Linked DNA regions of Struthio camelus. The protein of the gene in region 2 interacts with the protein of the main gene of each other region in a pairwise test. Links are inferred from orthologs where the notes say so. Each region holds a gene or a part of one and is shown on either strand. Other genes may lie near its edges. The genes, in order: UBE2C and MAPK7.

Region 1 (14,021 bases), on a different chromosome or scaffold from region 2:
GCGCTGGGGGCGGCGGGCGGGCGGATGCGGGTTCAGGGTGGCGGTGCCTCGTCCTCCCGTTCTCCAGGGGGCCACTGCACGGGGGGGGGGGTGCTGCCTGCCCTGCGGCTATTTTTAACCCCCTCCTTGCTGGGCTGCCCCGGGCGGGTGGGTGCTGCGGAGGGGGCAGAGCCACGCTCCTGTCCAGGCTCCAGCGTCCCTCCCCGTCGGGCTTGAATTTCTGTCCCGGCTCTGCACCCGCGGTTAATCCCCAGCTCTTGGCCAATAAAGCTTTGGCTAAATTAGGTAAAATGCACCCATCGCCAATGAGCGGGGCCGGATTTCCACCGGGGAGCTGATAGGCTGCCGGGGCCGCGGGGCCGACGGCAGGGGCAGGGTGCAGAGCGCGGACGCTACAAATTGGGGCGCCAGGGGCACCGGGGAGCTTCGGGGGGCTTTTCGGTGCAGGAGGTGGTGACTCCCTAGGGGAAGGAAGCGGCGAAAATGACTTCAATGGTAAGGTCTCGACGCCTGCGGCGTGCCGCGTGCCGGGGTGCGAGGGGGTCCCCTCGCCAGGCAGGGCGGGCGGTACTGGGGCTGCACGTGCCTCCCGCTGTGCCGGGATGTGCCAGGGAGGCAGCAGGGACGTCACCACCGGCCGGGCTGAGCGGCGCCGGCGCGGACGGAGCTGGGAGGCGTCGGGCAGGGCAGGGGCCGCGCGGCCGAGCCGAGGGGCACGGGAGCCGCCCCGGCCGGACCCGGGGTGCGCTGTGCTGCACCGAGGAGGAGGAGGACGAGGACGAGGATGCAGCTGCGGCTGTAAGCTGAGCACTGGGTCATGCGACACTGGGGGCACGGGGGCCGGCCGGCTCTCCAGGCGAAACTCGATCCAGGGCCGACAGGTGCCCGCAGCCCCGCTGCTCCCTATAAGGGGAGCTAAGGAGATCCCAAAAATAGTGCTGCACGCCTGGGATGCCAAGGCTGCGCGGCGGGGACCGCGGCCTCGGCCCCACAGGGCCCCCCGGCAGGGACGGGGGCCCGCACCGGGCAGCTCTCCGCAGCCCTCGCGCAGCCCGCGCGGAGGCCCAGCAGCACCTGGGACTGCCCAGGGCGCGCTCGTCCCGCGCACAGCGCCGTTAGCACTCCGGCCATGCAAGCTCTGTCGCTGGCACCCGTGTGCCAGGCTGCAGGGCTGCGCTGGGCAGATGCGCTGGAGCCTGGTGGTGGGAGCCAGGACTTTCCCCATTGTGAAGCTCCTGGCCCCATTACAAAGCTCCTCACCCCATTGCAAATCTCCTCACCCATCATAAAGCTCCTCACCCCATCACGAAGCTCCTCACTCCATTGCAAATCTCCTCACCCCATTGCAAATCTCCTCACCCATCATAAAGCTCCTCACCCTGTTGTGAAGCTCCTTGCCCCCTTGGGAAGCTCCTCGCCCCAGGGAACGGCGCTGTGCTATCTGGCACAGGGGCTGGGGTGTGCGGGGCTGGTGGTGACCCCCTCTCCCCGCGCCTTGCAGACGGACCAGCAAGCGGAAGCCCGTGCCTTCCTCAGCGAGGAGATGATCGCGGGTGAGTGAGGGAGCCGTGGGGCGCGGGGACGGATCCCGGCCGGGGGTCTCTCCCCAGGTGCCGGAGGCCTCGTCCCACACGCTGCCCTGCCTGACACCCCCTTTCCGGCAGAGTTCAAGGCTGCCTTCGACATGTTTGACGCGGACGGCGGCGGGGACATCAGCACCAAGGAGCTGGGCACGGTGATGAGGATGCTGGGCCAGAACCCCACCAAGGAGGAGTTGGACGCCATCATCGAGGAGGTGGACGAGGATGGTGAGCAGCCCTCCTCGGCGGGCCGGCGGGCCCCCGGCAGCACCCCTGACCGCTCTGCGGTTTCCTCCCCGCAGGCAGCGGCACCATCGACTTTGAGGAGTTCCTGGTGATGATGGTGCGCCAGATGAAGGAGGACGCCAAGGGCAAGTCCGAGGAGGAGCTGGCCAACTGCTTCCGCGTCTTCGACAAGTGAGTGGGGTGGCAATGCCCATGGGCGCCTGCCCCAGGGGGGCCGGCGGCCGCATCCTGCCCGGCCCGACCACCTGCCCTCGCCTCCGGCAGGAACGCGGACGGCTTCATCGACATCGAGGAGCTGGGCGAGATCCTCAGGGCCACCGGCGAGCACGTCACCGAGGAGGACATAGAGGACCTCATGAAGGATTCGGACAAGAACAACGACGGCCGCATCGACTTTGACGGTGAGCGCTGGCGCCCGCCGCGCCGGCTGGCCCCGGGCCGCGGCGCCGAGCCCCCGGCAGGCCCCGGCGCTGACGGTGCCGCTCTCTTGCAGAGTTCCTCAAGATGATGGAGGGCGTGCAGTAAGGGACCAGACATTCCCGGGGCCCGGCCGCTGCTTCCAGCCCCGCTCCGCCGCCGCCGTGCCGGCGCCCCATGGGAAGCAGCATGTCCGCAGCGCCTGGCCCCGCACCGCCGGCTCCGGCCGGGCCCCCGCAGCACCATGGGCCGGCTGGGGAGACCCCCGCTCGCGCCGCAGCTCCGGTCTCCGCGGACGGCGGCCAAGGCCTTTCCCTCTGCTCCGTCAGACGCGGTTTATGTTTGAGCCTCATTAAAAGGGGAAAAGGCTGGAGCTGCTGCTGCCTGGGGCTCCCTGGGCGGGGGGCAGCGGGGGCAGCGCGGGAAGGCGCGGGCCGGCGGTTCCCACGGCCTGCTGGGCCGGCGCCAGCCGTGAGCTCAGATTTTCCGCGTGGCCCCACGGCGCTGGGAGCTGGCTCAGCCGGGGGTCCCAGCCTGCAGCCAACCTCCAGGAGACCCCCCGGCCGGGGCTGCTGCCCGCCGCTGCGGGGCAGGGGCGCCGGAGTCCGCCAAGCCCGGGGGACCCCCCGGGAGGGACAGAGCCGGCGGTTCGAGGTGACGCCGGGAGCAGCGGTGACGCCGGGAGCCCCGTGCCAGGCTGCTGGAATGTCGCCGCTCCCCGGGGACCCCCCTTGCTGCGGTTCGGCGCAGCCTCCCCGGCAGGGAGGAGCGCAGCCACGGCCGGGAACTGCCGCGCGGGCACGGGGGAGCCGAGCCCCAGGGCGTCGCGGCGGCGGATGGCGGCGCGAGCGGGCGCGGGCAGCGCCCCAGGGGCAGCAGGGACGTGCGCGGCCGCCCAGGCCGCTCTGAGCAGGGCCACGGCCGGGCACCGGCAGCTGGTGCTGCAGCTGGGCGGCAGCGCGGACTGCGCCCAGCTGCGGGAGGAGCTGCGCCGCAGCAGCGCCTGGGCGCGCGAGCTCAGCGCCGGTAAGGCACGGCTGGCCCACGGGGACCGGGGAGGGCGCCAGGTGCTGGGGTCACCCCCCCGGGCGGTGCGTCGCCCCCGGCCGCCCACCCTGTGCCGGGGCTGGGGCAGCCGCTGCCTCAGGGCAGGGCCAGACCGGGGGGGTCGGAAGGGGCCGGGCGCGGGGCCATCCGTCCCCGCTCAGCGGCGTGCTGTCCCGCAGGCCTGCGGAGCGCGCTGGTGGCGGGGCTGCGGCGCCCGCCGGCCGGCCCCCAGGAGCGCCTGGAGCTGGAGCGGCTGTGGGTGCTCTTCCTCTGCGCCCTGGAGCTCTTCCTGCAGGACCTGCGCAAAGCCCACCACCTCGGCCAGCTCTTCGGCCCGCCGGGCGCCGGCGGCGCGGCCCTGCTGCGCACCGGGCTGGGCGGCCGGCCCGAGGGCCCGTGCCGCGGCGGGGGGCGGCCCGGCCGCCAGGGCAGCCACAGCCCCGAGCGGCCCCCGGCCGCCCCACGGCCCGAGGAGGAGATCGAGCAGATGAGGGCCATGCTGGCGGAGATGGAGAGCAGAGCCAACATCCCGCTGTGGACGGTGGAGGCCACGCAGCGGGGCCGGGCTGCGGGCAGCGCGGCTACCCGGGCCGGGGCGGCTCGGGGGCAGAGGCAGGCTGCGGGGCCGCGGCCGGGCACTGGGCACTGCTGCGCGGTCCTGTGATGCGCCCCGGGCGGGCGAGAGAGTGGCAGGGCTGGGACCCCCGTCCCGCAGCCTGGGGCGGCGCGGCCGCCGCGGAGCCGGCGATGCCCCGGGCACCGCGGAGGGTTATTAAAGACCCCGTCAGCCCTCGAGGTTTGTTGTCCCTCCTGATTCCCGCACGGGCAGAGGGGCCTGGGCCACGGCGCCCGTGGGAAGGGGCCACCAGGCATGCGCAGGGACAAGATGCCAGGCTGCAGCTTAACCCTCCGGGCCCCCAGCACAGAGTTATAAACGTGCATTTATTTATACATTAACCGTGGCTCGGACTGCAGAATTAATTTAAAAACAGCCTATGATACAGAAAGCCGCGGAGAGCGGCAGGACAGAGACAGAGCAGGAGAGCAGAGACCCAAGAACGAGAGACAGACACTGCCGGCGGGAAGGGGGGGAGCGCGGGGTCAAGTTTCCTGGCTCTTCGCCTGCTTGGCATACGTTTCCCGCAAATACTTCTTGAAGGCTGCGAGGAGAGGGAGAGGATGGTGCTGAGGGGCCCGGGAGAGCGGCCGGGCAGCCCCGCAACAGGAGCGCAGCGCGGCGCCGGGCAGCACCCGCGCAGCGGGGTCCGGGGCTGCGCGGCGCCTGGCCGCGGCAGGAGCGGGGATCCCGCCCCGGGACACTCACCAGCTTGGTTCTTCCAGAGCTCGGCCGCGTGCGTGTTCAGGGGGCTCTCGATGTTGGGCTCTGCGGACAGGGCACGGGGTCGGCGGTGGCCCCGACCCCAGCGGCCCGCCGTGCCCCGCCGCCGGCGGGCGCAGCTCTCGCCCAGCCCGGCCCCCCCCGGCAGCACAGCCCCGAACCCCGCGCCGGGCCCCACCTGCCAGCAGGCTCTGGATGGAGAGCAGGATGGTGCGGACGTCGTACAGGGCCGACCACTTGTCCTTGAGGATGTCGAGGCAGATGTTGCCCTGGGTGTCGACGTTGGGGTGGTAGCAGGGCGTGACGAAGCGCACGGTGGGCGCGTTGTAGGGGTACCCGCTGGGGAACTCCAGCGACAGCTTGTACCGCAGGTCCTCGTAGGCCTGGGGGCAGGAGTCAGGGAGGGGGCCGGCCGGGGTGGGGGGTCGGGGCCGCCCCGTCGGGGGTGGGGGGGGGCAGGCAGGGCCCGGGGGGGCCGGGGCCGCCCCTGTCGGGGGTGGGGGGGGGCAGGCAGGGCCCGGGGGGGGCCGGACCGCCCCGGCCCCGCGGGTGCCCCGGGCCGCTCACCGTGCCGGCCGCGCCGTCGATGGTCCCGATCCACTTGAAGAGGTTGTCGGACTCGGGGAAGGCGGAAATGCCCTTGTCACCGGACATCTGCGGGGACAGCGCCGTCAGGGGGGCTCGGAGCCAGCGGACCCCCCCCCGACCCCGGCGCGCCCCACTCACCATCAGCGACATCAGCTCCTGCTGCAGCCTGCGGGGGAAGCTCGTGTTACCGGGGCGGCCGCGCTCCCCCGAGCCGCCCCGGCCGCCCGGCGCCGCCTCACCTCTTGCCCACGGAGCCGCGGGCGGCCGTGGCCCCCGCCTCGGCCCCTTTGCGGGCGGCCGCGCTCGGCACGGCGGCGGGGTCCGCGTTCTGCGAGGCCATCGCGGCTCCCGCTCCGCCTCCTGCTCTTGGGCTCCGGCCGCGGCTGCTCGCGCCCTGCTGCGCCCGGCGCTGCCCCCGGCTCCGCTCCGCTCCCGGCCCGCTGCCCCTGGCCCGGCTCCGCTCGGCCCGCTGCCCCCGGCTTCGCTTCGCTCCGCCCCGGGCCCGGCTGCTCCCGGCCCGGCCCGGCTCGGCCTGGCCCGCTGTCCCCGCTCCGCTCCGGGCCCCGCTGTCCCCGCTCCGCTCCGCTGCCGGCCCCGCCGTCCCCGCTCCGCCGTCCCCGCTCGCCCCCGCCGCTCCCGCGCCCCCGTTTGAATGTTTCAAACCCGCGGCCCCTCCGCCAATCGGCGGCGCGCTCCCTTCGAGCCGACCAATCACCGCTCGCAAGGGATGCGGCTGCCTTGGAAACAGCGGCCGGCCGCCGATTGGTCGCACGGCGACGCCACACACGCTCCCCTATTGGCGGCTCACCCGTGACGTGACCTCCCAGCCCGGGGTGGGGGGGGGGGGTCCAGGCGGACCCCTTAAAGGGCCAGCACCCCCCCCCCCCAACCCCCCTACCCCTCGGGAAGGAGGCAGCGGAGGCGGGTGCGAAGCAGCTTTATTGCGAGGGCCGGTGCCGGGGTGGCGCCGGGCGGCGGCGGGGCCACTGGGCAGGGCAGGCCTCAGGGCTCGGGGGGCCCCTCCGGCGGCGGCGGCGGTAGCGGGTCCCCTCCGTTGCGAAGCGTCTCCATGTACTTCTGCATCTTCTCCGTCATCCAGGCCGGTGGGATGAAGGGCTTCAGCTCCTCCAGCTTCAGGTCAACGGAGTCCCTGCGGAGGGCAGAGGCCAGCGCTGAGCGGGGACCCCTGCGGCTCTTGCACGGGCAGGGTAGCCCCTGGTTCTGAGCCATTTTCACTAAAGGGGAGAAGGTTGCAGCACAAAAGACTTCTGGGCTTCTAGCCTCACCTGTAATCCTCACTGGCAGCCAAATCCCGAATATCCTCTTCAATGAGGAGATAAGCCTGCAGCACAAGGGGCAAAACGCTTCAGGTTTCCCATGCGAGAGCTTTGGACGCACCATGCTTCTGCTCAGAAATGAGATGTCTGCCTGGCACAGTGATGGAAGCTCATAACCCCCTTCCCGCTGGCCCTGTTAAACCCCACCAGCCTGCAGACCTGCTCCTACGAGGAGCTTTTGGTACCTCCTGGTTCTGCCCTACTCTCTCATATGTGCCCAAATCCCAGAGGAGCAGCAAAACACAATCTCCTTGGCTGAGGTGCCCCAAGCACCCAGAAACAACTGCCTCACCGAGCTCTGCCTGGCCTCCTGCACAAACTCACCTTCCCCACAACACACTGTTTTCGCTGCACGTGCCCTGGTTTACTGCTCACCTGCCCATTTCAATCCTGAATTGGGATTCTGTACAGTTCTCTCTCAGGCTGCGGCAGGCGCAAGCCTGAACGTACTCACCATCTTGCCCCCAGTGGCCCTCATGTGCTGCTGCTCTGCCAGCCAGTGCTTATCTTGCGGATCGGCTGCATACTGCAATAAAGCAGCAAGGACCTAGCTGAACACAGGCAACAGACCTTTTGCTCTGACCACCCCTGTATTTGGGCACTGAACCCCATTCTAGTGCTCCACTGCAATTGCACGACCCCCCAAATGCTGCCGATCTGTATCTTCAGGGAGGGAACGCTCAGCTCTGCCTGCTTTTACTTCAGAGTAAAACCCTGGCTCCAGGCAAAAACACCACTTCAGAGGCTGCACTAGGCTGTTAGCTTATGTTTCAGTGTGCTAGCCAGACTCTAGATGTTCTAAGACAACAAACAAGGGTGTGGGAGAGGAAGACAACAAGTGAGCCAAAGCATACATTCCTGATTCCCATCACAAACTGTTTCTGAGCAAACCCCAAAGGAGGAAGCATCCTGCTGTGGTATCTGACCTTAAAGAGGTGGGGATGTTTGATGTAGAGTCGCCCTCTTGTTCCTCCCATCCCGAGAGCTCTGAAACAGGAACACGAGGCGGGTGTTAAACCGGTGCAGAAGGGGCACTGAGCGGTACAGGGACACTTACTCTCCTCTCCTCTCCTCCCCAAGCCCGTGCCCTTCCTACTGCTTCCAAGGCAGAGAGGTGATGGGAGGAGTCTTAAGGGCTCCTGCCTGGGAGACACCACCCTCCATCAACAGGGCCATTCCTTACTTGTTTGCTCGAGATCCCAGCACAAAGGTTGTGGTTTCAGTCAGTCGGGATGGATCCCACTACAGAGCAATTGGAAAAGGGGCAACATTAGAAATGAAGCTGGTGCCAACCAATGCTCCATGAGCCTCAGATCTCTGATGGGGGCCTCAGAACCGCCCCCTGAGCTGGGAGGGAGGCAGCTAGCCACAAACCTCTGGATTTCCACAGAGGAGGGAAATTATGTCACCCTGGGCTGCTCTAAGCAGTTTCCTCGGCACATAACACTCGTGGGATCCTCCTGGCTACTACTGCTTGCCCTAAGTCTCCTGAAAAGCTGGTACCACACCACAGAACTATAGGCTACAGTGACTGGAGGAGACGAGCATAGGCTTCCAGGCACTTCACTCCTCTTCTTGCTTCTTTCTTTGCAACACAGAGGCCCATCAGGGCAGAGCACAGCTTAGAACTGTCCTCCGGTCCCACAGCAGGTGGGGCTCTGCTGACGGAAGCAAAGAGGAGGAGAGGGTGAGCCCAGCAGTGTTGGCCAACCGATACCTTTGGTCCATCCCTTCTCACGGGCTCAGAGACTTTGAGCTTCCACCTGAGGGGAAGGAAAATGAAATAAGAACGGATCCCAGAGGCACCAACTCACAGAACACCGCAAGCACCTAGCAGCAGGGAGCTGAGCTCCACCCCCTCCCAGCTCCATTTGCATTCACACCTTCTATTTCTCTCCAGTGCCCAGCTCTGGATCCTCATCCGTGCTGCACATTCTCTTCTCCCCAGCTGCCAACATCCCACCTCTACCTGTGTCATATACTGCTCACCCTGAATAGTCCATCTGGACCCTTCTGCCCCTTTGGGCCTTGCTTTCCAGAGGGTCTTCTACACTCCCTGCTTCATTCCCCACCCTCTCCAAGCGCAGGCTCTAAGTCAGAACCCATACTCACGCAGCCATGCCCGAGACCCCACGATCATTTGCCAGGCTCTGTCCTGGAGGCCGACCCTTTCTCTGCAAGAAAGATATCCTTGAGCTACTCATTTGTGTAGGCTGAGGGTACTCTTTCGGTTATCCTCTGCTGGGAAAATTGCTCTTTTTACCACGAGCAAAGTGCTGGCTAGCCCTAGAGTAAGGACCTCTAAGGCATTACAAAAGCTGCATCTGCATGCACTTATTTTCTGGGAAGGATGAGGAAGAGGCTTCCCATAACATAAAAGCATTTTTGTGGAAAACCCTACCTTTTTGGGAACAGGGCTTCCTCGCCGATTCAACTCCTCATCCATCTGTCTGGCACGCTGGCAAAGGAACGGCAGGAAGTGAACAGCAGCCCTTCTCCCTGTCTAGTCAGAACCCCCACCCACCCTGTCAGCTACTCTCTTATCTGCCGCACTTGGGGCACAGAGCACAAGTGCACAGGGAACGCTGAAGCCAACCCATCTCGGTATGAAGCACGTAGTTGCAATAAGCAACAGCGCATGGGACTTTTGTTGCTCTGTACCCCCTCCCTCCTAGCCCAACATCTCCCAGTTCTACCCCCTCATTAGAGCAACTGATGGACAACCAGATATCAGGGAGAGATCTATCCTGCAGCTTTTAAAGGACAACACTGTACCCCCCACTTACATATTGATTCTGTAATTCAACAGATAAGGAACAGGCAGAAAACAAAGCAACTCAAAACCCTCCTCTTATTTCTTCCAGCTCTTAAAGTCATTTAAGACTACAGGAACAATAACAACTTTTACCTTTGGTACCGCCTGCTCATGGGGCAACCTTGGGATCACCTTTTTGCCATCAGAGAAAAGCAGCTTGGCCTGTAAGAAGAGAAAGGATTATCTGATTCTGGGTCCAGAGAGGGACTGCCAGCTACCCCTGCCTTTCCCTATGAAAGGGGCTCATGTGTGCAAAGACACTCGCGCTGGAGAGAGAGCCCCAGGCCAGGTAAACTTTAAAGGCCATAGCTAATGACTCAGATGCCCAGTAGACCACAAGGGCTGGTCACTGCAGACCCCAGAGATTCAAGTGTATCTGGCCAGAAGCCCTATATCAGCTCTGGTTGCAGAGTGATTCTAAAGCGCAGTGCTGTTCACAGACAGTGAGATGCAAGAGCACGATCAAGTCAGGATGACCGGCACAAAAGTAAGATCTGAAAGAAGAAGATCACAGTCTTGTTGGAGGAACCTTCAACGGGTACCAGGGAACTAGAGTCACTGTGAAAGCTCCCTGCTGTCAGCTGTGTGCAACAAGCATGGACAGAGCATCAGTGGGAAGCAGCAGTTCATTGAGAGCTACCCAACCCCGACTACTCTCCTTTTCGACAGGGAAAAAGAAGTCGAGCACAGTATCCACGGAAGGACTGTGGACGCCCTCCTCTGGCTATTCTGCAAGACTGTGAGGAGGAACATGCCCTACCGCAGGCTGCTCTGCACAGCCAGCCAAGCAAATAGTAGTCTGCCGCTGCTGGACATACCAGGCTGCCCCGGGTGTGCAGGGCCCTTGGCTATGGTGCCCACCTGTTCTAGGCAACTCCGGCACGTCTCCTGGATGAGCTGCTCTGGGTCCACCTCCTCCCCGACATTATCACGCACATTGATTGCTGCTTTCTGGAAAAACTGGTGAAGAGGCAGCAGGAGAAGGTTAGAGCCTGACCAGCAAGGCAACATCGGGGCAAGCACATGGTGCACTTGTGCTCTCACACTGCACCCGCGTGCCAGCGGCCAGGCTGGCACAGGACAGGCGTGACCGCCTCACACAGCCACCCAGGAGCCAAGCTCCTCCTGCAGGGCCCACAGCGGGACAGGGTGGCACGAGGCACTGCCCCGGCAGCTCTCACCTTCATGTACTTGTTGAAGACGCCTCGGATTTCCTCATTGATGCTGGGCTGCAGGACGGCTCGCAGCAGCTCCATGGACACGACTGGGTCTGTGAAGCTGAAGGTGCAGAGATCAGGTGGGTGGCACAGACCCCCTCCCCCAGTCTGGTCTAATCCAGACCCTCTCCTCCAGGCCAGTCCAGCTGCCCCCTCCCAGCCTGGCCCAGTCCGGTCCTCCCACTGCCGCAGTCTCCCCTCTCGATCCTCCAGGTCCACCCGGCCCGGTCTCCCCCCACCCCCTCCGTATCAGGTCCAGTCGGGACCCCTCCCCTCCCCGGTCCCGCTCCCCATCGGCTCCGTCCGGCCAGCCCGGCCCGGCCCGTGCCCCCCAGCGCAGCGCGGCCCGGCCCGGCCCGGCCCGCCGCCGTTACCTGGTGGTCATCTGGGAGCGGCGGCCGCGCCGCTGCACCTGCCGGTGCTTGATCATGATGTTCCAGGGGCTCTGCGGGAAGAGGCGCGTCAGCCCCGGCCCCGCCGGCCCCCCGCCGGCCCGGCCCCCCGCCGGCCCCCGCCTCACCGTGCTGACCAGCTGCTCCTCGGCGCCGCCCGGGCCCTCCTCGCCCGGCGGGCCCGGCTGCTGCTCCGCGTCGCGGGCGGCCCCCATGGCGGCCGCGGCCGCAGCCCCAGCCCCGGCCCCGGCCCCGGCCCGCCGCCCTCGCGCCCGGAAGCGGCCGCCGCGCGCCGGCGTCATCGCGCCGCGCCGCCCGCCGGAAGCGCCCGGCTGCCATGGCAACGGCGGGCCCGGCCCGGGCCGGCCGGGGCGGGGGGGTGTGGGCGGCCCTCGGCGGGGCAGGAGGCTCGTGGGGGTGACGGGGGGGTGTGAGGTGACAGGGGGTGTGTGGGGTGACGAGGGGTGTGAGGGTGACGGGGGTGTGAGGGTGACGGGCGAGTTTGGGGGTGACAGCAATGTGGGGGTGTGGGGGGTGGCGGGGTGTGAGGCTGATGGAGGGTTTGGGGGTGACAGGAGTGTGGGGATGACAGGGGTGTGTAGAAGTGTGTGGGTGTATTTGGGGGGTGTACTGGTGGTGTATGTACTTGGGGGTTGTGCTGGTGGTGTGTGTATTTGGAGGGGTGTGCTGGTGGTGCGGGTGTATTTGTCGGGTGTGCTGGTGGTGTGGGTGTATTTGGGGGTTGTGCTGCTGGTGTGGGTGTATTGGGGGGTGTGCTGCTGGTGTGGGTGTATTGGGTGTGCTGGTGGTGTGGGTGTATTTGGGGGTTGTGCTGGTGTGTGTATTTGGGGGGTGTGCTGGTAGTGTGTGTATTTGGGGGTTGTGCTGGTGGTGTGGGTGTATTGGGGGTTGTGCTGGTGGTGTGGGTGTATTTGGGGGTTGTGCTGGTGGTGAGGGTGTATTGGGTGCGCTGGTGGTGTGGGTGTATTTGGGGGTTGTGCTGGTGGTGTGTGTATTTGGGGGTTGTGCTGGTGGTGTGGGTGTATTTGGGGGTTGTGCTGGTGGTGTGTGTATTTGGGGGGTGTGCTGGTAGTGTGTGTATTTGGGGTGTGTGCTGGTGGTGTGGGTGTATTTGGGGGTTGTGCTGGTGGTGTGGGTGTATTGGGTGTGCTGGTGGTGTGGGTGTATTTGGGGGTTGTGCTGGTAGTGTGTGTATTTGGGGGTTGTGCTGGTAGTGTGGGTGTATTGGTGTGCTGGTGGTGTGTGTGTATTTGGGGGTTGTGCTGGTGGTGTGGGTGTATTTGGGGGTTGTGCTGGTGGTGTGGGTGTATTGGGTGTGCTGGTGGTGTGGGTGTATTTGGGGGTTGTGCTGGTAGTGTGTGTATTTGGGGGGTGTGCTGGTAGTGTGTGTATTTGGGGGTTGTGCTGGTGGTGTGGGTGTATTGGTGTGCTGGTGGTGTGGGTGTATTTGGGGGTTGTGCTGGTGGTGTGTGTATTTGGGGGTTGTGCTGGTGGTGAGGGTGTATTGGGTGCGCTGGTGGTGTGGGTGTATTTGGGGGTTGTGCTGGTGGTGTGTGTATTTGGGGGTTGTGCTGGTGGTGTGGGTGTATTTGGGGGTTGTGCTGGTGGTGTGTGTATTTGGGGGGTGTGCTGGTAGTGTGTGTATTTGGGGGGTGTGCTGGTGGTGTGGGTGTATTTGGGGGTTGTGCTGGTGGTGTGGGTGTATTTGGGGGTTGTGCTGGTAGTGTGTGTATTTGGGGGTTGTGCTGGTGGTGTGGGTGTATTGGGGGTTGTGCTGGTGGTGTGGGTGTGCTGATGGTGGGCCCGTGGGGGTGCAGGGCATACGGGTGCATCGCTGCGGGAGGGCGGTGTGATGGGGCGGGTGCGGGGGTGCGGCGGCGTGGGGAAGGTTTCCGACGCGGTAAGGTAGGCGCTAGTGGAGCAACGGCCTCCTTCCTGCCAGCTCCTGCGTGGTTTGGTGTAGGGGAAATAACGGGAACCAATAAACGTGCTTGCCGTTTCCTGTTTGGTGTCAGCTTGGGTGTCAAAGCGTTAAACTCTCTGTATGTCCCGCAGCGCAGGTGCTCGGCGTAGCTGTGAAGAGCTGCACAGCTGTTTGTATCGCCTCGCGTAGGAGGCAGCACAGCAAAGTGTGTGTAAATAATCTAAGAGAATGGAAGTAGACTGAAATTGCAGTTGTAAATTTAAGACATCCACGCTTATTTCCCTCTGTGCTTGCAGGTGCATTTTTTCCTCATGGTTTATTTTACACATTACCTATTGGTATGCATATTCCCTCTCAAAAAAGTATGTAAATACCAGGTAATGTAAAAATTTATAGCAAGAAAAGAATCCCCAGTTGTTCAAAAGTACAGCTGTCATGGATGAATTTGTAGTGATGGACTGACTGTCAGCTCTCAAAAATAATCAGAAGTCTTAAAGCTTAAAAAAAAAACTTTTCCACCAAAATTGGAAATATTGAGACCTTCCTCAGACTGAAATCGGTAGCACACTAATCTTACCTACGGTACCAAAATAATTACAGTTATAGAAATGTAAATATTTGTTCTTTTATTGTCTGTAAATATTTTTGTTGTCTGATCTAGTATACCTGAAATACAAAAATAAAGTTGTTGCAGTTCCAATCTTAATAAGCTGTGTGTCTCTTTGCTGCAAGCCTCTCAGGATTCCTGAATCTCATTGTGTGGCTTAGGAAATATAGGAAATATTTGAAGCCAGTGTTCCTTAAATTTAACGTGTCAGCTTGATCAGTTACAACGTCTAGAATATTCAAAATGATTTGTCCATTGTTCATTAGACCTTTTTACCCTTGTACATTGGTTAACGTGAAGCTTTTTCTGTTGGGTCAGGTGGATGAAAATTTAAGAGGCAGATTTGCTGTTTTGTTGGTAAAATTTGTTACTTCCAAAAAGATTATAAGATAAAAACCGGCGAATTGGGTTTGCCAAAATGCGTTGTGTTAGGGCAGTTCGGTGTCTCTTGTTCAAAGAGTAACTAATCTAAAGGATGATGGAGATAATAC
Region 2 (14,820 bases):
GCCCCCCCATGATGCATTGCACCCCCCTGAGCATTGCACGGCCCCCCCCATGATGCATTGCACCCCCTGAGCATTGCACGGCCCCCCCATGATGCATTGCACCCCCCTGAGCATTGCACGGCCCCCCCCATGATGCATTGCACCCCCCGAGCATTGCACGGCCCCCCCATGGTGCATTGCACCCCCCCGGGCGTTGCACGGCCCCCCCCCATGATGCATTGCACCCCCCGAGCATTGCACGGCCCCCCCCATGGTGCATTGCACCCCCCGGACATTGCACGGCCCCCCCCATGATGCATTGCACCCCCTGACCATTGCACGGCCCCCCCCATGGTGCATTGCACCCCCCGAGCATTGCACGGCCCCCCCCGTGGTGCATTGCACCCCCCCGAGCATTGCACGGCCCCCCCCATGGTGCATTGCACCCCCCTGAGCATTGCACGGCCCCCCCCGCGGTGCATTGCACCCCCCGAGCATTGCACAGCCCCCCCGTGATGCATTGCACCCCCCGAGCATTGCACGGCCCCCCCCGTGATGCATTGCACCCCCTGAGCATTGCACGGCCCCCCCCATGATGCATTGCACCCCCCCGGGCGTTGCACGGCCCCCCCCCTCCTGCATAGCACCCCCTACTCCTCGCCTGGCCCCGCCCCACCATGCCCCGCCCCCGCCCCCCTCCCGCCATCTTGTGCGCTGACAAAGGAGCTGGGGGGAGGGGCGCCCCCCCCCGCCCGGCTGCAGCATTGGGGGGGGGAGGGAGAACACGCCTGCGACACGCGTGTACGCGGGGGGGGGAGGGGGGAGGGGACCCAGGCGTCCGGGCGCCGCTGCTGCTGCTCCTCCTCCTCCTCACCCGGCCCCTCCCCCCGCCCAGGTCGCCGCCATGGAGGGGAACGGGGGCGAGGGGCGCGCCGCCGCCTGCGACCACCCGCGCGGTGATGGGTGCCACGACCCGCGTGATGATGGGTGCCATGACCCGCGTGACGATGGGTGCCATGACCCGCGTGACGATGGGTGCAACGACCCGCGTGATGATGGGTGCAACGACCCACGTGATGATGGGTGCCACGAGAGCCGTGATGATGGGTGCCGTGACCCATCGCGTGATGATGGGCGCAACAAGACCCGCGATGACGCCCACTATGACCCGCGCGATGACGCCCACCATGACCCGTGTGATGACGCCCACCATGAGCTGCGCGATGACGCCCACCATGACCCTTGTGATGATGCCCACCATGAGCTGCGTGATGACGCCCACCATGACCCTTGTGATGATGCCCACCATGACCTGCGCGATGACGCCCACCATGACCCGCGTGACGATGGGTGCAACGACCCACGTGATGACGGGTGCAAGAAGACCCATGATGACGCCCGCAACGCCCCGCGTGATGATGGGCGCAACGACAGCCATGATGACGCCCGCAACGCCCCGCGTGATGATGCCCACCATGACCCACGTGATGATGCCCACCATGACCCGTGTGATGATGGCTGCAAGAAGACCCGTGATGATGCCCACCATGACCCTTGTGATGGTGGGCGCAACGAGAGCCATGATGATGGGCGCAACGACAGCCATGATGATGGGCGCAATGAGAGCCATGATGATGGGTGCAACGAGAGCCATGATGATGGGTGCAACGAGAGCCATGATGATGGATGCAACGAGAGCCATGATGATGGGCGCAACGAGAGCCATGATGATGGACGCAACGAGAGCCATGATGATGGGCGCAACGCCCCGCGTGATGATGGGCGCAACGACAGCCATGATGATGGGCGCAACGCCCCGCGTGATGATGGACGCAACGACAGCCATGATGATGGGCGCAACGAGAGCCATGATGATGGGCACAACGAGAGCCATGATGATGGGCGCAACGCCCCGCGTGATGATGGGCGCAACGACAGCCATGATGATGGGCGCAACGACAGCCATGATGATGGGCGCAACGCCCCGCGTGATGACCCGCCCGCCGCCCCGCCGCCCTACGTCAAGTCGGGCCGCCGCTACCAATGCCCGACCTGCGCCAAGACCTTCCCCAACCCTCCGCGGGCCCTGCGGCACGCTCGCACCCACGCCGCCCCGCCGCCCCCCACCACCGCCCCCCTGCCCTGCCCCGAGCGCGACCAGCCCTTCGCCCAGGCCTCCTGCCTGCGCGCCCGCCGCCGCCCGGCCGCCCCCCTGCCCTTCGCCTGCGCCGCCTGCCCCAAGGCCTACGGCACCCTCGCCAAGCTCACCGTCCACCAGCGGGCCCACACCGGCGAGCGCCCCTTCGCCTGCCCCGAGTGCGCCAAGGCCTTCGCCGACCCCTCCGTCTACCGCAAGCACCGGCGCGGCCACGCGGGCCTGCGGCCCTACCGCTGCGCCGCCTGCCCCAAGGCCTACGCCGAGCTCAAGGACCTGCGCAACCACGAGCGCAGCCACACGGGCGAGCGGCCCTTCCTGTGCGCCGAGTGCGGCAAGGCCTTCGGCCGCTCCTCCTCGCTGGCCTGCCACCAGCGCATCCACGCCCCCCGCAAGCCCTACGCCTGCCCCCGCTGCCCCAAGGCCTTCACCCAGCTCTCCTCCTTCCAGAGCCACCAGCGGGTGCACACGGGCGAGCGGCCCTTCCTCTGCCCCCAGTGCGGCCGCATGTTCGCCGACCCGTCCAGCTACCGGCGCCACCAGCGGGCCCACCAGGGCCTCAAGCCCTACGGCTGCGGCGAGTGCGGCAAGGCCTTCCGGCAACCCGCCGACCTGGCCGTGCACCGGCGCGTGCACACCGGCGAGCGGCCCCACCGCTGCCCGCAGTGCGACAAGGCCTTCGTGGCCTCCTGGGACCTCAAGCGGCACCGGCTGGTGCACTCGGGCGAGCGGCCCTGGCGCTGCGGCGAGTGCGGCAAGGCCTTCGCCGAGCGCGCCGGCCTCACCAAGCACCGGCGCGTGCACTCGGGCGAGCGGCCCTTCGCCTGCGCCCGCTGCGGCAAGGCCTTCGTCGTCTCCTCCAGCCTGCGCAAGCACGAGCGCACCCACGGCCACGAGGCCGCCCCCGTCACCAGCGTGGGTCCCGACGTGGCCGCCCTCGGCGGAGGAACTTCATCCTGTGGCGGCCCCAACATGGCCGCCCCCGGCGCAGGGCTGGCGTCCAACATGGCTGCTCCCGGAGCAGGGCTGGTGTCCAACATGGCCGCCCCCGGAGTAGGGCTGGTATCCAATATGGCTGCCCATGGCGGAGGAACTTCATCGTGTGGCGGCCCCAACATGGCCGCCCCCGGCGCAGGGCTGGCGTCCAACATGGCCGCCCCCGGAGTAGGGCTGGTATCCAATATGGCTGCCCATGGCAGAGGAACTTCATCATGTGGCGGCCCCAACATGGCCGCCCCCGGCGCAGGGCTGGCATCCAACATGGCCGTTCCCGGCAGAGGGCTGGCATCCAACGTGACCACCCCCGGCGGAGGGTTGGTGTCCAACATGGCCGCCCCTAGCGGAGGAACTTCATCGTGTGGCGGCCCCAACATGGCCGCCCCCGGCGCAGGTCCGGCCCGCGTGGGCCCCAACATGGCCGCTGCCGGCGGAACTCTGTTGTGTGGCGGCCCCAACATGGCCGTCCCCGCTCTGTCGTGTGGAGGCTCCAACATGGCCACCGCCGGTGGAGGCCCGGCCTGCGCAGGCCCCAACATGGCCGCCCCCGGCGGAACCCTGTTATGCGCCGGCCCCAATATGGCCGCCCCTAGCGGCGCCCGGGCCTGCGCAGGCCCCAACATGGCCGCCCCCGGGGGAACTCTGCTGGGTGGCGACACCAACATGGCGGCGCCCAGCGGAGCCCCGGCCTGCGCAGGCCCCAACATGGCGGCGCCCAGCGGAGCCCCGGCCTGCGCAGGCCCCAACATGGCGGCGCCCAGCGGAGCCCCGGCCTGCGCAGGCCCCAACGTGGCGGCGCCCGGCAGAGCCCCGGCCGAGGGGGCGGGGCCGGAAGGGGCGGATCCCTCTGGTGGAGGCCCCGCCCCCTCACCCGAGCTCCGCCCCTTCGCCTGCCCCCACTGCCCCAAGCGCTTCGGGGCCCGGGGGGGGCTGCGCAAGCACCAGCGCCGCCATGACCCCGGCCCCGCCCCCTCGGCCCCGCCCCCACGTGGGAGGGCGGGGCTCCGCCACGGCTCCGCCCCCACGGGCCCCGCTTAGGGCTCCGCCCGGGCCCCGCCCCTCCCAGAAGGGGGCGTGGCTTCCCTCCCCGGCTCCGCGGCGGGAAAATAAAGGGCCCAATCGGATCCTCCGGCTTCCGCTCGTCTCTGGCCCCGCCCCCCCCCAAGGGGCCCAGGCGTCCGGGGCCCCGGCAGCGACTCTCTCTCTCTCTCTCTCTGGTTCCGGCTCTTTATTGGCCTCCGGGAGCAGCGAGACGGCCCCGTTGGCTGCCCAGAGCGGCCGCCGCCTCCTCCCGGCCAATCCCGCGCCTCCGTTCTGCCCCGCCCACTGGCTCCCAGCCAATGGCGTGCTCCGCCCTCTCCGGTCTCCTCCCGGCCAATCCCCGGGCGGGATCTGCCCCGGATTCCCCTCGATGATGTCACGCCGCTCTCGGCCAATCCCGCCCCCCCCCAACCACCCACTCTCGGCCAATCCCATCGCGGTCCCTCTCCTCTCAGCCAATCCCGCGTCTGCTCCCCGCCCACCCGGCCACCCCCTCGCCCAACGGCATCGCAGAGGAGGCGGGGCTGTCCTCCCGCCCAATCAGGGCTGGGGGCGGGCGGGGCGCCCGGACGCCTGGGCCCCGGGGCGGGGGGGCGGGGTGAGGGGCGGGATGGGCAGCGGTTCCGGGTCACGGCCTCCATGGGGGCTCTGCCCCTTGGGGGGCTTCTCCATGGCCACGTGTCCTCCAGGAGCCTCCATCTTGGGGGGCTTCTCCATGGCCACGTGTCCTCCAGGAGCCTCCATCTCGGGGGGCTTCTCCATGGCCACGTGTCCTCCAGGAGCCTCCATCTCGGGGAGCTTCTCCAAGCCCACGTGTCCTCCAGGAGCCTCCATCTTGGGGGGCTTCTCCATGGCCACGTGTCCTCCAGGAGCCTCCATCTCGGGGGGCTTCTCCAAGCCCACGAGTCCTCCAGGAGCCTCCATGTCGGGGGGCTTCTCCAAGTCCACGTGTCCTCCAGGAGCCTCCATCTCGGGGGGCTTCTCCAAGTCCACGTGTCCTCCAGGAGCCTCCATCTTGGGGGGCTTCTCCAAGCCCACGTGTCCTCCAGGAGCCTCCATCTCGGGGGGCTTCTCCAAGCCCATGCGTCCTCCAGGAGCCTCCATCTCGGGGGGCTTCTCCAAGCCCATGTGTCCTCCAGGAGCCTCCATCTTGGGGAGCTTCTCCATTGCCCCCAAGCCCACGTATCCTCCAGGGCTCTCCACCTTGAAGTCCATTTCCATCAGCCCCATGTTCAGGGGTTCTCCAGGGCTCTCCATCTTGGAGTGCGCCTCTATCGCCTCCAGGCCTAGATGTCCTCCAGGATGCTCCATCTTGGGGCGCACCTCCACCACCTTCAAGCCCAGGTGTCCTCCAGGATGCTCCATCTTGGGGCGCACCTCCACCACCTTCAAGCCCAGGTGTCCTCCAGGATGCTCCATCTTGGGGCACACCTCCACCACCTTCAAGCCCAGGTGTCCTCCAGGATGCTCCATCTTGGGGCGCACCTCCATCACCCCCAAACCCAAGTGTCCTCCAAGACTCTCCGTTTTCGGACGCATCTCCAGGTCTAGAGGTTCTCCAGCACTTTCCACCTTGACCTGCACCTCCAAGGCCGGGCGTCCTCGGGCACCTTCCGCCCCGGCTCCGTCCCGGGCGACCTCCCTGCTGCCGTCCTGGATGGACTAAGGGGTCCCGGATGCCTGGGCCCCTCCTGTTCACCCACCTCTGGAGGTGCTATGGGGTCCCGGACACCTGGGACCCTCCTGCTCACCCACCCCTGGAGGTGCTATGGGGTCCCGGATGCCTGGGCCCCTCCAGTCTTGGATGCACCCGGACGCCTGGGCCCCTCTGGTCCTGGGGGCACCCGGATGCCTGGGCCCCTCCAGTCCTGGATGTGCCCGGACACCTGGGCCCCTCCGGTCCTAGACGCACCCGGACGCCTGGGCCCTCTGGTCCTAGACGCACCTGGACGCCTGGGCCCCTCCGGTCCTGGATGCACCCGGATGCCTGGGCCCCTCCGGTTCTGGGGGCACCCTGACGCCTGGGCCCCTCCGGTCCTGGATGCGCCCGGACGCCTGGGCCCCTCTGGTTCTGGATGTGCCCGGACGCCTGGGCCCCTCCGGTCCTGGACGCGCCCGGATGCCTGGGCCCCTCTGGTTCTGGATGTGCCTGGACGCCTGGGCCCCTCTGGTTCTGGGGGCACCCGGACGCCTGGGCCCCTCTGGTTCTGGATGTGCCCGGACGCCTGGGCCCCTCTGGTTCTGGGGGCACCCGGACGCCTGGGCCCCTGCGGTCCTGGGGGCACCCAGACTCCTGGGCCCCTCTGGTTCTGGATGTGCCCGGACGCCTGGGCCCCTCTGGTTCTGGGGGCACCTGGACGCCTGGGCCCCTCCGGTCCTGGACGCGCCCGGACACCTGGGCCCCTGCAGTCCTGGATGCGCCCGGACGCCTGGGCCCCTCCGGTTCTGGGGGCACCTGGACGCCTGGGCCCCTCCGGTCCAGGATGTGCCCGGACACCTGGGCCCCTCCGGTCCTGGACGCGCCCGGACACCTGGGCCCCTCCGGTCCAGGATGTGCCCGGACGCCTGGGCCCCTCCGGTCCTGGACGCGCCCGGACACCTGGGCCCCTCCGGTCCAGGATGTGCCCGGACGCCTGGGCCCCTCCGGTCCTGGACGCGCCCGGACGCCTGGGCCCCTCCGGTCCAGGATGTGCCCGGACGCCTGGGCCCCTCCGGTCCTGGACGCACCCGGACGCCTGGGCCCCTCTGCCTTAGGGGCCCCCGGACGCCTGGGCCCCTGCGAACCCCCTCGGGGGCGGGGTCAGAAGCCGAAGGGGGGCGGGGCCCGGACGCCTGGGCCCCGCCCGCTGCCGCTGGGCGGCCGGTTGGGGGGGGCGGGAGGAAGGATCCGGCCCCGCCCCCTTTCGGCCCCGTGACGTCACTTCCCCAAACGCCACCCTCCCCCACCCTCTCCGGCGCGGCCCCTCCCCGCGGAAGCCCCGCCCCCCCTCGCTCCGGCCCGGGGAGCCGCTGCGCGCTGATTGGGCGGCGGCGGAGGGGGCGGGGCGAGGCGCTACATCCGGGGCACCGCGGGGAGCGGCGGGAGCGGCGCGGCCGGGGGGAGGTGAGCGCCGTCCCGGGAACCCCCCTCCCTCCCCCGCCCGCCCGCGGTCTCCATGGCAACCGCCGCCGCCGCCGCCGCGGCGTCGCCGTGGCAACCGCGCCCTTCCCCGCCCGCCCCTTCCCCCCCCCGCCGCCGCCGCCGCCCCGCTCCCCGCGTCGCCATGGCGACCGCGCCCAACCCCGCCCCGCCCCGCCCGAGCGGCGTCGCCATGGTGACGGAGCGGGGCGGGGTGCGGTCGCCATGGCGACGGCGGCCCCTCCCCGGACGCCTGGGTCCCTCCCGGACGCCTGGGCCCCTCCCGGACACCTGGGCCCCCCCCAACCCCAGACACCTGGGCCCTCCCCGGACACCTGGGCCCCTCCCAGACACCTGGGTCCCTCCCCGGACACCTGGGCCCCTTCCCGGACGCCTGGGCCCCTCCCCGGACACCTGGGCCCCTTCCCGGACGCCTGGGCCCCTCCCGGACACCTGGGCCCCTCCCGGACGCCTGGGTCCCTTCCCCGGACGCCTGGGCCCCTCCCGGACACCTGGGCCCCTCCCGGACACCTGGGTCCCTTCCCCGGACACCTGGGTCCCTTCCCCGGACACCTGGGCTCCTCCCGGACTCCTGGGCCCCTTCCGGATGCCTGGGCCCCTTCCGGATGCCTGCGCCCCTCCCCGAACACCTGGGTCCCTTCCCCGGACACCTGGGTCCCTTCCCCGGACGCCTGGGCCCCTCCCGGACACCTGGGTCCCTTCCCCGGACGCCTGGGCCCCTGACATAGCCATGTCGCATGGCGGGTAGGCCCGGACGCCTGGGCCCCTGTGAGGCTGGCGCAGGATGGCGGAGACTGGGGAGCGGCGGGGGGGGGGGTGCTGGGGTTGGGGGAGACCCGGACGCCTGGGCCCTTCCCCGGACGCCTGGGCCCCTCCCGGACGCCTGGGCCCTTCCCCGGACACCTGGGCCCCTCCCGGACGCCTGGGCCCTTCCCCGGACACCTGGGCCCCTCCCGGACGCCTGGGTCCCTGTGGGGCAGGCGCAGGATGGCGGAGGCGGAGGCCGGGGAGCGGCGGGGTTGGGGGGGGACCCGGACGCCTGGGCCCCTCCCGGACGCCTGGGCCCCTCCCGGACGCCTGGGTCCCTGTGGGGCAGGCGCAGGATGGCGGAGGCGGAGGCCGGGGAGCGGCGGGGTTGGGGGGGGACCCGGACGCCTGGGCCCCCCCGGACGCCTGGGCCCCTCCCGGACGCCTGGGTCCCTGTGGGGCAGGCGCAGGATGGCGGAGGCGGAGGCCGGGGAGCGGCGGGGGGCGCCCGGCGGCCCCCTGGCCCTGCTCAAGGCCCGGGCGCTGGACGTCACCTTCGAGGTGGGCGACGAGTACGAGATCATCGAGACCATCGGCACCGGCGCCTACGGCGTCGTCAGCTCGGCCCGCCGCCGCGACACCGGTGAGCCGGACGCCTGGGCCCCACCCTCCCCCCCCCCCGGTGACGCGAAGGGCCCGGACGCCTGGGCCCCAGGGTGGGAGGGTCCCGGACGCCTGGGCCCCTGCAGCTTGAGGGTCCCGGACGCCTGGGCCCCTGCGGCATGAGGGTCCCGGACGCCTGGGTCCCTGTGACACGAGAATCCCGGACACCTGGGCCCCAGGGTGGGAGGGTCCCGGACACCTGGGCCCCATGGTGGGAGGGTCCCGGACGCCTGGGCCCCTGCAGCTTGAGGGTCCCGGACACCTGGGCCCCTGCGGCATGAGGGTCCCGGACACCTGGGTCCCTGTGACACGAGAATCCCGGACACCTGGGCCCCAGGGTGGGAGGGTCCCGGACACCTGGGCCCCATGGTGGGAGGGTCCCGGACACCTGGGTCCCTGTGACACGAGGATCCCGGACGCCTGGGCCCCTGTGGCATGAGGGTCCTGGACGCCTGGGTCCCTGGGGAGTGCGAGCCCTGGACGCCTGGGCCCCAGGGTGGGAGGGTCCTGGACACTTGGGTCCTCGGGGAGCTGGAGCCCCGGACGCCTGGGCCCCTGCGGCATGAGGGTCCCGGACACCTGGGTCCCTGTGACACGAGGATCCCGGATGCCTGGGTCCCTGGGGAGCAGGAGCCCCGGACGCCTGGGCCCCTGTGGCATGAGGATCCCGGATGCCTGGGTCCCTGGGGAGCAGGAGCCCCGGACGCCTGGGCCCCTGTGGCATGAGGGTCCCGGACGCCTGGGTCCCTGTGACACGAGGATCCCGGATGCCTGGGTCCCTGGGGAGCAGGAGCCCCGGACGCCTGGGCCCCTGTGGCATGAGGGTCCCGGACACCTGGGCCCCGGGGAGCTGGAGCCCCGGATGCCTGGGCCCCTGTGGGGTGAGGGTCCCGGACGCCTGGGCCCCATGGTGGGAGGGTCCCGGACACCTGGGTCCCTGGGGAGCGGGAGCCCTGGATGCCTGGGCCCCTGTGGCATGAGGGTCCCGGATGCCTGGGCCCCTGGGGAGTGGGAGCCCCGGACGCCTGGGCCCCATGGTGGGAGGGTCCCAGACGCCTGGGTCCCTGGGGAGCGGGAGCCCTGGACGCCTGGGCCCCAGGGTGGGAGGGTCCCGGACACCTGGGTCCCTGGGGAGCAGGAGCCCCAGACGCCTGGGCCCCGTGGTAGGATGGTCCCGGCTGCCTGGGCTCCTGGGGTGGGGGTGAGGCTCCAGGACACCTGGGTCCCTGAGCGGCTGAAGAACCCCCGGACGCCTGGGCCCCTGGGGCGCAGGCCAGCAGGTGGCCATCAAGAAGATCCCCAACGCCTTCGACGTGGTGACCAACGCCAAGCGGACGCTGCGCGAGCTCAAGATCCTCAAGCACTTCAAGCACGACAACATCATCGGCATCAAGGACATCCTGAAGCCCACCGTGCCCTACGGCGAGTTCCGCTCCGTGTGCGTGCCCGGACGCCTGGGCCCCCTCCCGCGGGGTTGTGGGGTGGAGTGGGTGCTCTCGGACGCCTGGGTCCCTCGAGGGGCTGCCCGGACGCCTTGGTCCTCGGTGTGGTGGGGTTGATGATGCTGGACGTGGAGGTCCACCTAGCTGGGTTCCCGGACGCCTGGGTCCCTTGTGGGGTTGTGGGGCGGAACTGAGTTTCCCGGATGCCTGGGTCCCTGTGGGGTGGAGCGGGGTCCCCCGGACGCTTGGATCTGCCATGGGGTGGAGCGGGGCTCCCCAGAGCTCTGGGTCCTCAGTGGGGCAAAGTAGGGTCCCCCGGACACCTGGGCCCCCCATGGGGTACATGGGATGGAGCAGGGCCTCCTGGACGCCTCGATCTCCTCTGGGGTCGAACGGGATCTCCTGGATGCCTGGGTCCCCCACGGGGCACATGGGACGGAGCAGGACACCCCCGGACACCTGGGTCCCCCATGGGGCACATGGGATGGAGCAGGGCCTCCTGGATACCTCGATCTCCTCTGGGGTTGAGTGGGTCCCCTGGGTCCCCCCGGACGCCTGGGTCCCCCATGGGGCACATGGGATGGAGCAGGGCCTCCTGGACGCCTCGATCTGCTCTGGGGTTGAGTGGGTCCCCCCGGACGCCTGGGTCCCCGGTGGGGCACATGGGATGGAGCAGGGCCTCCTGGACGCCTCGATCTGCTCTGGGGTTGAGTGGGTCCCCCCGGACGCCTGGGTCCCCCATGGGGCACGTAGGGCGGAGCAGGACACCCCTGGTCACCTGGGTCCCCGGTGGGGTTCATGGGACGGAACGGGACCCCCCCCACCACCACCACCCGGGACACCTGGGTCCTCAACGAGGGGCTGGGCGCGGGGTGGAACGGGACCTCCGAGAGCCCGACCGCGTGCACGCCGGACGCCTGGGCCCTTTACCTTTCGCCGGCCGCAGCTACGTGGTGCTGGACCTGATGGAGAGCGACCTGCACCAGATCATCCACTCGCCGCAGCCGCTGACGCTGGAGCACGTGCGCTACTTCCTCTACCAGCTGCTGCGCGGCCTCAAGTACATCCACTCGGCCAACGTCCTCCACCGCGACCTCAAGCCCAGCAACCTGCTGGTCAACGAGAACTGCGAGCTCAAGATCGGCGACTTCGGCATGGCCCGGGGCTTGGGCGCCGACCCGCGTCACGCCAAGGCCTTCCTCACCGAGTACGTGGCCACCCGCTGGTACCGGGCGCCCGAGCTGCTGCTCTCCTTGCACCGCTACACCCGCGCCATCGACATGTGGTCGGTGGGTTGCATCTTCGCCGAGATGTTGGGTCGCCGGCAGCTCTTCCCGGGTCGCAACTACGTGCACCAGCTGCAGCTCATCATGGCGGTGCTGGGCACGCCGCCGGCCGCCGTCATGGCGGCCATCGGGGCCGAGCGGGTGCGGGCGTACGTGCAGAGCTTGCCGCCCCGTCCGGCCGTGCCTTGGGAGAGCCTCTTCGGCGACGCCGAGCCGGCGGCGTTGGCCCTGCTGGGTCGCATGCTGCGCTTCGACCCCCGCGAGCGCCTGGGGGTGGCCGAGGCCTTGCGTCACCCCTTCCTGGCCAAGTACCACGACCCCGAGGACGAGCCCGAGTGCGTGCCCGCCTTCGACTTCGCCTTCGACCGCCGCGCCCTCACCAAGGAGGAGATCAAGGCGGCCATCGTGGCCGAGATCGCCGACTTCCACGCCCGCCGCGACGGCATCCGCCGCCACATCGCCTTCGCCCCCGCCGGCGGCGCCGCGGTCGACGCCGACGGCACCGGGGTCAACGTCGACGGCGGTATGGTCAACGCCGACGGCACCAGGGTCAACGTCGACGGCAGTATGGTCAACGTCGATGGCGCCGGGGTCAACTTTGATGGCACCGGGGTCAACCTCGATGGCGGCATGGTCAACGTTGATGGCGGCATGGTCAACGTCGATGGTGCCAGGGTCAACTTTGATGGCGCCAGGGTCAACCTCGATGGCGGCCTGGTCAACATTGAGGGCCCCAGGGTCAACCTCGATGGCGCCGCGGTCAACGCTAGCATCAACGGGGTCAACGCCAGCGCTGCCGCGGCCAACGCCAACGCCGCCATGGCCAACGCCGCCTTGGCCAACGCCAACGGCCCCCTGGCCGGCGTGGCTATGGGCGGCACCAACGCCGCCGTCGGCATGGCCAACGCCACCGCGGCCGACGCCAACGCTGCTATGGCCAACGCCGCCTTGGTCAACGCTAACGGTGCTTTGGGCAACGTGGTCATGGCCAACGCCGGCGTGGGCGTGGCCAACGCCGCCATGACCAACGCCGCTTTGGCCAACGGCGCCCTGGCCAACGCCGCCATGGCTAAGGCCACCTTGGCCAACAGCAGCATGGGCGCCGCCAACGCCGTCATGGCCGAGGCCAACATCGCCATGGCCAATGCCGGCCTCCCCATGGTGGGCGTCTCCGTGGCCAACGCCAACGTGGCCTGGCCCTGCGCCGACGTGGACATGCCCAGCCCCGGCCCCGCCCCCGACTGCCCCATGGACTCGCCCCGGGTCAAGGCCGAGCCGGGGGCCCCGCCGGCCCCCAAGCGCGACGGCGCCATCTCCGACGACACCAAGGCCGCCCTCAAGGCCGCCCTGCTCAAGTCGGCCATGAGGAACAAGAGCAAAGGTGAACGGTGCCCGGACGCCTGGGTCCCTGGCGGTGCTCGTGGGTGGTTCTGGGCTCCATCCCTGGGACTCCTGGGTCCCCTGATTGGGTGGTGGCCCTGGACTGGTGGGTCCCGGGTGGTGGTGGTGGACGTCTCTGGGCTGCATCCCGGGACTGGTGGGTCCCGGGTGGTGGTGGTGGGCGTCTCTGGGCTGCATCCCGGGACTGGTGGGTCCCGGGTGGTGGTGGTGGGCGTCTCTGGGCTGCATCCCGGGACTGGTGGGTCCCGGGTGGTGGTGGTGGGCGTCTCTGGGCTGCATCCCGGGACTGGTGGGTCCCGGGTGGTGGTGGTGGACATCTCTGGGCTGCATCCCGGGACTGGTGGGTCCCGGGTGGTGGTGGTGGGCGTCTCTGGGCTGCATCCCGGGACTGGTGGGTCCCGGGTGGTGGTGGTGGACGTCTCTGGGCTGCATCCCGGGACTGGTGGGTCCCGGGTGGTGGTGGTGGACGTCTCTGGGCTGCATCCCGGGACTGGTGGGTCCCGGGTGGTGGTGGTGGACGTCTCTGGGCTGCATCCTGGGACTGGTGGGTCCCGGGTGGTGGTGGTGGACGTCTCTGGGCTGCATCCCGGGACTGGTGGGTCCCGGGTGGTGGTGGTGGGCGTCTCTGGGCTGCATCCCGGGACTCGTGGGTGCCGGGTGGTGGTGGTGGACGTCTCTGGGCTGCATCCCGGGACTGGTGGGTCCCGGGTGGTGGTGGTGGACGTCTCTGGGCTGCATCCCTGGACTGGTGGGTCCCGGGTGGTGGTGGTGGACGTCTCTGGGCTGCATCCCGGGACTGGTGGGTCCCGGGTGGTGGTGGTGGACATCTCTGGGCTGCATCCCGGGACTGGTGGGTCCCGGGTGGTGGTGGTGGACGTCTCTGGGCTGCATCCCGGGACTCGTGGGTGCCGGGTGGTGGTGGTGGGCGTCTCTGGGCTGCATCCCGGGACTGGTGGGTCCCGGGTGGTGGTGGTGGACGTCTCTGGGCTGCATCCCGGGACTCGTGGGTGCCGGGTGGTGGTGGTGGGCGTCTCTGGGCTGCATCCCGGGACTGGTGGGTCCCGGGTGGTGGTGGTGGGCGTCTCTGGGCTGCATCCCGGGACTGGTGGGTCCCGGGTGGTGGTGGTGGACGTCTCTGGGCTGCATCCCGGGACTGGTGGGTCCCGGGTGGTGGTGGTGGGCACCTCGGTCCCCCGTCCCCGGACTCCTGGGCCCCCTGACCCGCGGCTCCGTCCCCCGCAGAGCCGGCGTGCGCGGCGGCGCCGGAAGCGCCGGAGGGCCGGAAGCCGGTGACGGCGGCGGAGCGTCAGCGGGAGCGGGAGGAGAAGCGCAAGCGGCGGCAGGAGCGGGCCAAGGAGCGGGAGAAGAAGCAGAAGGAGCGGGAGCGGCGCGAGCCCCGAGGCCGCGGTGAGGGGCTGCGGGGCTTGGCCCTCACCGACGACGACCGCCATCTCCTCGAGCGCTGGACCAAGATGCTGGACGGGGCCCGACCGCCGCCGCCACCGGCCCCCGTGGCCACCACCACCACCATCGCCACCACCATCACCACCACCACCACCACCGCCGCCGCCGCCGAGGTCTGGGCCCCCGAGCCCTGGCCCGAGGCGCCCGACGTGGCCACCGTCACCCAGCAGCTCTCCAAGTCGCAGGTGAGGAAGGACCCGGCGGGCAAAGCGAGGGGGCCCAGGCGTCCGGTCCGGCCGCGGGACCGCCCTTTCGGACCCCCTTTCCTTTCCCACCCCTGCAGGTGGAGGACCTGCTGCCCCCCGTGTTTTCGGGGACCCCCAAGGGCAGCGGGGCCGGTTACGGCGTCGGCTTCGACCTCGAGGAGTTCCTGAGCCAGTCGCTCGACATGGTGGGCGACGGCAAGGACAGGTGAGGAAGGGGGCCCAGGCGTCCGAGGGGCCCGGGTGTTCGGGGGGCCCAGGCATCCGGGGGGCCCAGGTGTTCGGGGTTGGGGGGCTCCCGTCC

Evidence for each region.
Region 1: the proteins of MAPK7 (region 2) and UBE2C interact in binary tests that used the Homo sapiens proteins (3 or more experiments, as listed by UniProt). The two-hybrid records come from large-scale screens. The link is inferred for Struthio camelus from reciprocal best matches to the Homo sapiens genes MAPK7 and UBE2C.

The regions. Positions count from the first base shown.
Region 1 is NC_090959.1:19,295,346-19,309,366, reverse strand, and holds UBE2C (ubiquitin-conjugating enzyme E2 C), read right to left. Parts: upstream 5,836-14,021; 5' UTR 5,558-5,835; coding exon 5,457-5,557; intron 5,384-5,456; coding exon 5,356-5,383; intron 5,284-5,355; coding exon 5,197-5,283; intron 5,013-5,196; coding exon 4,808-5,012; intron 4,675-4,807; coding exon 4,615-4,674; intron 4,451-4,614; coding exon 4,392-4,450; 3' UTR 4,214-4,391; downstream 1-4,213. Other genes in the region: TNNC2 (troponin C, skeletal muscle), read left to right, coding at 484-495, 1,502-1,553, 1,665-1,808, 1,883-1,997, 2,091-2,227, 2,320-2,351; regulator of G-protein signaling 9-binding protein-like, read left to right, coding at 311-365, 3,123-3,269, 3,470-3,954; DNTTIP1 (deoxynucleotidyltransferase terminal-interacting protein 1), read right to left, coding at 6,220-6,367, 6,504-6,559, 7,009-7,080, 7,481-7,541, 7,738-7,796, 8,272-8,317, 8,667-8,728, 8,956-9,012 and 5 more. UniProt on the Homo sapiens protein: Accepts ubiquitin from the E1 complex and catalyzes its covalent attachment to other proteins. In vitro catalyzes 'Lys-11'- and 'Lys-48'-linked polyubiquitination.
Region 2 is NC_090973.1:406,303-421,122, forward strand, and holds the start of MAPK7 (mitogen-activated protein kinase 7), read left to right. Parts: upstream 1-7,215; 5' UTR 7,216-7,274; intron 7,275-8,521; 5' UTR 8,522-8,528; coding exon 8,529-8,700; intron 8,701-9,992; coding exon 9,993-10,158; intron 10,159-11,108; coding exon 11,109-12,829; intron 12,830-14,091; coding exon 14,092-14,498; intron 14,499-14,596; coding exon 14,597-14,724; intron 14,725-14,820. Other genes in the region: ZNF668 (zinc finger protein 668), read left to right, coding at 884-4,168. UniProt on the Homo sapiens protein: Plays a role in various cellular processes such as proliferation, differentiation and cell survival. The upstream activator of MAPK7 is the MAPK kinase MAP2K5.